Linked DNA regions of Caenorhabditis elegans. The protein of the gene in region 2 purifies or fractionates together with the protein of the main gene of each other region. This does not show direct contact. Each region holds a gene or a part of one and is shown on either strand. Other genes may lie near its edges.

Evidence for each region.
Region 1: the proteins of gyf-1 (region 2) and T18D3.6 fractionate together in Caenorhabditis elegans (co-fractionation; one large-scale study listed by BioGRID). This does not show direct contact.

The regions. Positions count from the first base shown.
Region 1 is NC_003284.9:12,448,123-12,452,156, forward strand, and holds T18D3.6 (uncharacterized protein), read left to right. Parts: upstream 1-1,769; 5' UTR 1,770-1,794; coding exon 1,795-2,535; intron 2,536-2,620; coding exon 2,621-2,684; intron 2,685-2,737; coding exon 2,738-2,805; 3' UTR 2,806-3,233; coding exon of another isoform or gene 3,234-3,311; 3' UTR 3,312-3,321; downstream 3,322-4,034. Other genes in the region: T18D3.9 (Mitochondrial inner membrane protein Mpv17), read right to left, coding at 3,234-3,311, 3,450-3,518.
Region 2 is NC_003280.10:6,682,417-6,687,288, reverse strand, and holds the start of gyf-1 (GYF domain-containing protein gyf-1), read right to left. Parts: upstream 3,052-4,872; 5' UTR 3,041-3,051; coding exon 2,985-3,040; intron 2,594-2,984; coding exon 2,488-2,593; intron 2,181-2,487; coding exon 1,977-2,180; intron 1,757-1,976; exon of another isoform or gene 1,608-1,756; intron 1,502-1,607; coding exon 1,333-1,501; intron 1,260-1,332; coding exon 954-1,259; intron 909-953; coding exon 228-908; intron 182-227; coding exon 1-181. Other genes in the region: ift-74 (Intraflagellar transport protein 74 homolog), read right to left, coding at 4,343-4,408, 4,457-4,567, 4,619-4,872.

The DNA.
Region 1 (4,034 bases), on a different chromosome or scaffold from region 2:
AAACAATTTGCTGAAATGCATGGTTTTATTTGTAGAAATGAATTCTTTGTTCCGTACTTTTGAAAAAAAACTACGCATAAACTTATAAAATCTTAATAGAGAAAATGTTATTGGAATATACATATTCTGCAATCTTTAGTTTTCGAGTTATACAGTTTTCGAGTTATACGATTTTAACAACTCAAGTGAATCAAAACCGAAAGAGAACAAAATGTCGGTAATTCAGGTCGCAATGCGACCTAGGTCGCTAGGTCGCAGGTCGCTAGGTCGCAGGTCGCAATGCGACCTAGGTCGCGATGCGACCTAACCCTCTAGGTCGCAGGTCGACCTAGGTCGACCTATAGCCACCCCTAATTCTAATATATCAGGAGATGTTTAAAAATAGTTCATGACTGCCAGATAAACACACAATTTTCAAAGCAATGTATCCGTTTTGTTGTTGTCAACTTAGGTATTAGTGCATGCGTGGTTGTAATAAGCACAAAGCTGAAATATCTAATTTTAGGAAAAGCACGTAAACTTTCTTGTTTTATCATTATCAAGTTTCACTGTAAAGTTTTTTATTATTTTCAAGTTGTCTATGGTGGAGAAATAAAAAGGTTATAGTTGAAACTTTATTGTCTTATCAGTAGTCAAAAAATTTTTGAAAACCCTCACTTTTCTGAGGTGTATTTTCTATTTTTCCAGAAGTCATATCAAACATAATACAGTAGGGTTCTAGCAAACTTTAGTGAACATTCATTGTTTGAGTGGTCTTTCCAGTTGCAACAAATACTACGTATTTAGATAAATATCAAAAAATTATAAAACCTAGCTACTGTACCAGCCAAAAATTAGCTAAAATGATGATTTTATCTTTAAAAAAAATTCAAACTAGTGTTTTAACCAGCAACAGTGTAAACCTTTATAGAAGTATATGTGATTCGTCGTCAAAAATGCAAGGCAATCGTTTTTTTCAAGTTTTTTTAATGATAATGCTGAAATCTTGAAAGTTTGCTGAAATGTACTAAAAACTGAGTACTACTTTGTATTTATCTGGCTGTAACTGTTTGTGAGCTGCAATTACTTTAATACAAACCAACATTTTTATAGCGCTTTTTCAGAGCAAAATACATGGCGTAAAAAACAAGTATGTACATGTGTTTTGTTTGTAACTTTTCTTTTGTTGCTTGGTAAAGATGTCAATTTAATATTGTTATTGAATATCACAATATAATGTAGGCAATCTGCTACTTCAAACATTTGAGACAGCAAGACACGCAGGCATCTCGACAAAACGGCGCTGCTGGGCAGAACAGGCCGGCCAGTGTCGGCAGTGGAAGAGGGCGACGGCGACCGTCCGTCTTTTGGCCGCATGTTCTCCCCCATTTTTCCTCTCCCTTGCAAACACTTTTTATTCTCTTTCTACGGTTTGCAATTCTGCCAATTCTGCAGTGTTTCGGCGAAATGAATTTTCTTAGTTTAAACTGGGAAACTATTAAGCGGCAGTGTGATAGGCTTGGTTGCCACAAAAAAGTTACTCGTTTTGTTTTGCAAATTTACAAAATTTTTAACAAGTTGCTAAATTCCTTTTTTAAGTCTTTTTTAAATATACAATTCCAATGCAAAAAAATATCCCAATGCGTCACATGTTCTATATTTTCCTTCATCACTCCTCGTCTTGCATGTTTTTCAAATACAACTGTTATGTGAATACCCTTTCTGAAAGAAAATTATTATTTACGCCCAACGTTCTTTCAGTTGACTTAACATCACTCAATAGTTTCCTTTTTCAGTTACTTGGGTATACTCATAATGGAAGAACCCCACCCAGCACCAAGGAATGATCGAGATGCGGAAGGTGAAGAGGCTAGGCACGCTTTAAGGATGGAGAGACAACTTGCAATTCGTGAGGGACGTTATCTGCCTCCACTCCCACAACTTCCACCATTGATCCAGCTGATTCCTGTGCACCGCGCTCAGGCGAACGAAGCTGTCGATAGAGCCATTGAATTTCAGCTAAACCAGAGGCGGCAGTTTTTGCTGCAACACCTTCGACCTGAGCATTTTCAGCCTGGTGGATTCTTTGATCCGCAGCCAGAGGGAAACTATCATCCTTTGTCTCCACAACATAGTGACGAAGAGCTTGATGACGCGGAAGAGGAGATTGAGAGACAGCGACGAATCCGCCAAAACTGGAGAAACTACATGAACCAGAGAGTTGATCCCATTCCACAAGAGATCGTTGACCGCTTGCTCCGGGAATACGACAATTGGGCAAGAGCCGCGTTAAACAATAACAATGGAAATTTTCGAAACTACAATGCGATGCTCTCCCCATCACCATCTCCATCACCAAATGCATCACCAGCACCGTCAGACGACGAAGATCCGATGGAGCACGTGAATTCTGATGATGAAGATGTCGAGATGCTTAATGCTCAAATGATGGAAATGCGTCCCAATCAGCCGAGACCAAGAAAGCGTCATAATTCTCAAGGACCATTACCGATCAAAAGGAAAAGAGTCACTTTCAAGGAGGACTCTTCAGATGAGGTTCGGAATTTTTCGGGCTTTTGAAATTTTTTGCAAAACACCCAAAAAATTTTACAATATAATCATACAAAATTCAAAATTTCAGGCCATCAACTCATTCGATGAGGACAGCTCCGATTGCAATGACAATGTTCCAGTCAACCGTAAACGTGAGGAATAAACATAATTAATTCAGCGAGTCAGCTAATGTCAAAATGTTTAGAATATGACGACGACGACGAGGGATTTTTCGGAGGACCCCCGGCACGCCACAACTCCTTTGTTGCATAGAAGTAAATCTCAAATTAACCAACTTTTCTTCAACACACTTTTACCAATTTTTCTAACGAGAAACTACCGGTTCCCCGGTGGCACCGTACGCCATTTTCTGTGAATGTTTTTTTTCAAACCCCGTTTTTCTTTCTTTCTTTCCATTTCTGTCCGACTCATTTCCGCCACATTTCCTCGCCAATCCACTTCCCCGCACCACTTGGGATCTCGTTTCATTTTCATGACTGTTCTTCTGGAAATTTAATCACAAAGTCCAAAACTCATTTCTCATCCTGTTTTATACTCTCAATTTACTTTTTGAATTAACATTATCGTCATTAATTTTAATTGGGAATTTTGAACATAATACAATTTTATGTGAAATTACAACCTAAAACATAAATATCACAGAAAAATACATAAAGATTGGAATGTATGTGAAACTGTAACTAGTAAAATTGTTCAATATGATCGATGGGTTTCTGAGTGATGTAGGACAGATAACAATTCCAGAAGAATGCGACGACCTGAAAAATTAATTGAAAAAATAAACTGATTGATGTGTTTCGTTTCAATGGCGTGATAAACTGTCTAATAAAAATTGAACCTTTTAAACAGTTGTATTTTGGTTATGATTTATTCTTCAAACTTTGGTCAAAATGTACCTGGTTAAGTATTACTCGATAATTGAGTGGAACAAAGCACAAATTCACAACTTGAACAAATGGCCAAACCTGGAATAGTATTTTTGTACGACATAAATTTTTGAGTGCTTGGCAATAATAAAAAATGATTTGGAAGTTAGTTAGGTTTCACGCTGACGTGGCGCATGTTTTCTGTCAAAAATTCACTTTTATTGTAATTTTCATTACGTGTAAATTGCTTCTAAATCAGAAAACTTCTTAATAAAGCTTTGCTGATCGAGATAATGTTTTGAAATTATATATGTATTACTTCACAAAATAAGCAATTCTACTACAATCAACCTTATTTTTCACATAATTTTTAACAGTTAGAGGCCTTTAAATGTTTATAATACAAGTTGAAAAACAGTTTTCAGCAATATGGTGATGATGCTATTGATACTTTATTTTTATTCGAACTATTTCTCCTCAGCATCAGTTTTTGTTCGTCTTCCTCCAAATCTATGTTGATCCAATCCTCATTTTGTGAATATCAATGCATCCTCTTTTTATTGTGCACTCTTTCAATTTCGGGATAAAGCTCTGCTCTTTTGGCGAGGACGAGTC
Region 2 (4,872 bases):
ATCATATATACATCAGTAGGTTGACCCATGCTTGACCACATGTTCACTCCACCAAATGCAGCTGGATACAAAGGATTCGTCGCGGACGGGTAAGGGATCGACGGCAAAATTGGGCGTGGAGGCTCAATATCTTCCAAATATTCAAATGGCGTCGAGGATCCATGCAATTTTTTGAGGTCACCTGGAAAATTAATTATTTTTTTAAAGCAAAAATATGATAAACTTACCGATCGTTTTATATTCTCCGTTTTCGCCTCTCTGAACTCGAAGTGATTCATCCGTAAAATAACCCGCTTTGAACCATACATTCATTTGATCTTTAGGGAAAGGACCACGACGAGTTTCTGTTGGATCCATGTAGTAAAACTGAACAGGTTCTTCTTTTACAATCGGAGCTGGTGGCTGTGGCGTTGGTTGATAGAAAATACCACCTCCCATCGAATTATTAGACCACGCTGATGGATCAGAAGGATATGTAGGAATAGGAAGATTCGGAACATCCGTTGATTCACTCTCTTGCCGAGAAGGAGCAGAAACTGGAGCAGATGAACGTTGTTGTTGTTGCTGTTGTTGTTGTGGTGGATGATTTTCTGTGGATGCCTTTCTAACCGCAGCAACCATGTGATTCCGATCTTTCCAAACAGTTGAATCAGAACCAACTTCTCGATTATTCCACAGAGTAATTGGAGGTTGTGCTTGCTGCTGAGTCGATTGCTGCTGTTGTTGTTGCTGTTGTTGCTGTGTACGTTGAATCCAAGATTCAGAACGAGCCCAAGCAGGACGTTCAGATGATTGAGGGGCCGCATTGGTGGAGGTTCGAGATGTACTTCCAACTTTCGACCATCCTTCCTCCTCTTCTTCATCGCTCTCGCTTCGAGTTGCAGCAGGATTCACCGCCTTTGGACGATCTATACCGATCATATTTTCAATCAGAAAATTTCCTTAAAACTTACCAGTTGGATCGTTCGGGTTGTACAAAGCGTCAGCTCTAGTGTTAAAAGCTGAACCCGTCGTGCTGCCACCACGACCGACGCTTCCCGCGCCACCGCCACGACGAAGTGCATTGAACTTTGATTGATATGTTCCAGGAGAATCTTCGTTTTGAGCAGCTGGCGAGCCACCATTGGTCGCGCCGCCAAACCCGTTTTCTCCGCCGATTCGTCCGCCACCACGGCCTGCAAAGAATGCTCCACTTGCTCGACCAACAGATCCACCACCACGAGGAGTTGTACCGGTGCCACGATCCGGTGTGCCTTTATCTAAACAATATTGTTTAGATTGTTTTTATTTTTTATGTATCAAAGTCTAATTACAAAAATTCGCAACACTTACTCCAAGATGATTTCGGAGCCCAGCGACTGGTTGGTGATTGTCCGTTTTGAAGTGCTCCGGAAGCGGCTCCATATCCACTTCCATAAGCAGCTCCAGCAGCAATTGAGGCTCGATCAGCGTGCGATAAAAGAGACATTGCTTTCGAAGAGTTTATGTTGTGTTGCAGTTTCTGAAAATGAAATATATAATTTTCATGAATAGGATTTGTTAGAAATTTTATTAGAGAATAACTACTCTACCACGGAACATAAACATGAAACGAAAAAACTAAGCATTTTCAACTTAAAAGTGTTTAACAAATAAACTTATTCGATAACACAAATTACTCCGATCATTAGGAAAGTGAAATGGTGGGATACGAACAGCAAAGAGCCTCATAAAGTCTCGCTATGCCTTCCTCCCTCCAAGGACACACTATACTTTTCTTGTTTAGACGAAAGAGTCAGTGAAACTGGATAAAATAGAAGTTCACATCAAATTCTAGAATACAATGTGCACACGAATAATAAAATATAGATCCTAAACATAGATCCTAAACAAATCTGTCAATTATCAAAAAAGTACCATGCAAAATTGGAAATCGTCAGACAATAGTGGGATAAATTTCATTATTTCTAATTCTAAAACTCTTGTGGTATCCCTACCTGTTCATGTTCACTGAGAGGCGTGTTCGAGACGAGCGGCAGGTTCTTCTCGTTGAAAAATAGCTGATCGCGCAACGCATCAGGCATAATCGATCCGGTTGGAGCCAGCTCGAGAAGACGTTCGCGCGTGTACGAGAATTCCGAAACCACTGGCGAAGAGAGGACCGCGGCGGCTGCAGCAGCGATTGCCGAAGAGGAGATTTCCTAATTGAACACATTTTCAGTTTTTTTTAAAAATAAGAGTTTTTTGTCATGGAGGGAGGGAGTCAGTGATAGCCCGACTTTGAGAGGTATATTCTAAAATCTAAATTCATAATTATTTAGTTTTTGATGTAATGTTGTGACAGACGATTATAATATTAAAACCGGGTACCACGGGGACCATGACCCAATAAACACAAAATTGTAAATAAATTATTTTCCTTTTTTTTCTAAATTTCTAGATTATGAGATGTGCTAAGAATATATTTGTGGAACGTGCTGGTTTTTTCCCGTAGATTCTGAAACTCACATCGCCGCCATCGTCAAATCCACCCCCACCAAATCCAGAGGAACGATTGTTTCCCGAAGAAATTGAGCCACCACGGTTAGCAGCATTTGGACGCATCCTGAAATGACTTTAACGCAATTTTAAGAAAGAACTTGTGGCTTGGATTTCTAATTGATTTTGCTAACTTTTATATTCTGGAATTCATATTATTCATTTTTTCAGCTGCAGTCAGCAAATTTGTGGTAAAAAAGGTACAAGTTTGAGAATTTGGGTTTTATTTTGGTTTTCGGCATTATTTATTTTATTTTTCTTTTAATATTGCTACAAACACGATCGAGTAGAGCCTTTTTAACAAAAAAATACGAGCGATAAACTTCTTAGTTGAAAAGAACGCATTTAAAAATCATTTGCTCTATGATTCAAAACTAGAGGTTAAAAATGAAAAATATCTTAGATTACTTGGAAAAAACTCCATTTAATTTTAAATAATAATTATTTTTTAAGATTCAAACACATACCAGCTTGGATTGAAATTTTGTTGAGCAGTTGGCTCGGCGGACGAAACTGACGACATTTTGAGTAGTTCTGTAAAACGAAATATAATTGAAACGCATACTTCAATATCCTTTTTTCAAAAATGAGATTAAAAAAAGACAAAAGGCTTATTCGAGAAGTTTCTATCATGATCAGATTGAAAATGTTTAGGATTCAACTTGTGTAACTCGTCAAAGGCCTAGTTTTGACCGCAGCGCAAAACCTCGGCCAACGAAAATTGCTTGTTCAAAGATGAGATACGCAGAGACGAATGTTACGTGGCAGAAGCCCGAGTAACTAATCTTATCAGGCATTTAAAAAACGAAAAGTTCAGATTACTATAAAAACTGTATTCTTAATTCTCATTTTAGCATGTATGCAAAGGGTAAAAGTTTATCGTGAGATATTGGTTCAATATCTAGCTGCCGGGCGGTGGTTGCGGACAATTTTCTCACCACACCCTGCGTCTATTTATTTCTCGAGACCACGCCACGAAACAAAGATTACTGAAATAAAGAGAAGCAGAGAAATGAGTTGCGTCGCGGTCGACCGCATCGCGCCTACTTTTTTCGGCCCCCCGAGCTACAACTTGGAAGAACAACAAAACGTTTCCACCTTTCTTTAGCCAGAAAATGTTGTGAATATATCGTTATCAAGCAAAAAAAAAGGCTATGTAAAATTAGGCATAATTTTTGAATTGATTTCTTGACTTTTCTTCGTATCCTTTGTAGCTTTTCGCGCAGATAGAACTTATTTTATTTGTTTGTTTAAGCTGTTGAATATATTCGTTATATTTAACAGTCAATCAATAAAGGTTCTCAAAATATAATCAAACGATATTTTAAATAGAATTACAATATTATTTGACTGCAAAAATGATGGAAATGTTATAATTGAAGAAAAATTGAGAAAACTCAATTTAAAACTAGCCTTACTTAAACGTTATCAATCAAAAAGATCGCCGAAAAGGGTAAAACGACGGAAACAAAAAAGGAACTACGGCGACCTTGCGGAAAGGGTGCTTCATACTTGATATATATCTTCTCCTCAAATTTCCAAAAATTCTAAAAACAAAAACACGATTAAAAATCGAGAAAATCAGGAAAGAAACAAAGAAATTCATCAGCAAGAAAATTGCGAAAATCGGGCGGGAAAATTTCAAGGTACGGTAGTCGTGACGAGACATGTTCAGATAAAGTTTGTCGTGTTCCTTAAAGCTACTGTAGGCAAAGATTTTTCAATTTTTTAATTAGTATTTTCCAATAATTTTTTTGCTGTTTCAGGAACAGTTCAGCATATTCAATGTAAATTTAATAAATAAATTTAGTGAAAAATTAATAAATCAGGTGAATCTTTGAAATGGATTGGTCAAAAGCATGTTATTGTATTCTTCCTGAAGTCGAATGCTCTGAAATTAAGTAAAATATTGTTAACTCGATTAGGAAAAAATCCACACCTCTGTTTTAATATCTTCGTAGTCAATTTCAGTCTTCCTCAAGCTCATGTCAAGTGATTTTGCAGCAGTACGTTTCTCAACAGCTTCCAGTCGTTCGCGAAGCATTTTGTGCTGGAATAAATTTATAATTGGTAAAACTAATATAGAACCATATCGACTCACTTGAGAGTATCCTGGAATTGAATGAAGTTCATTTCTTATACTTGCTACATTTGCTTCTAACTGTTGCATTTCATGTGAACGAGCTGGAGCTTCATCTTCAAGCCTTTTTTGACGTTCTTCAAGCTCTTGTCGGAGCCCATCTGAATCTACATTCTTCCCGACTCCCGCCAATTCCTGATCTATTTTTTTCTCCTCAGTTTCCAAATTATCAATTTCTTCATTTAACGCCAATTCCATATCCTCAATTGATATAA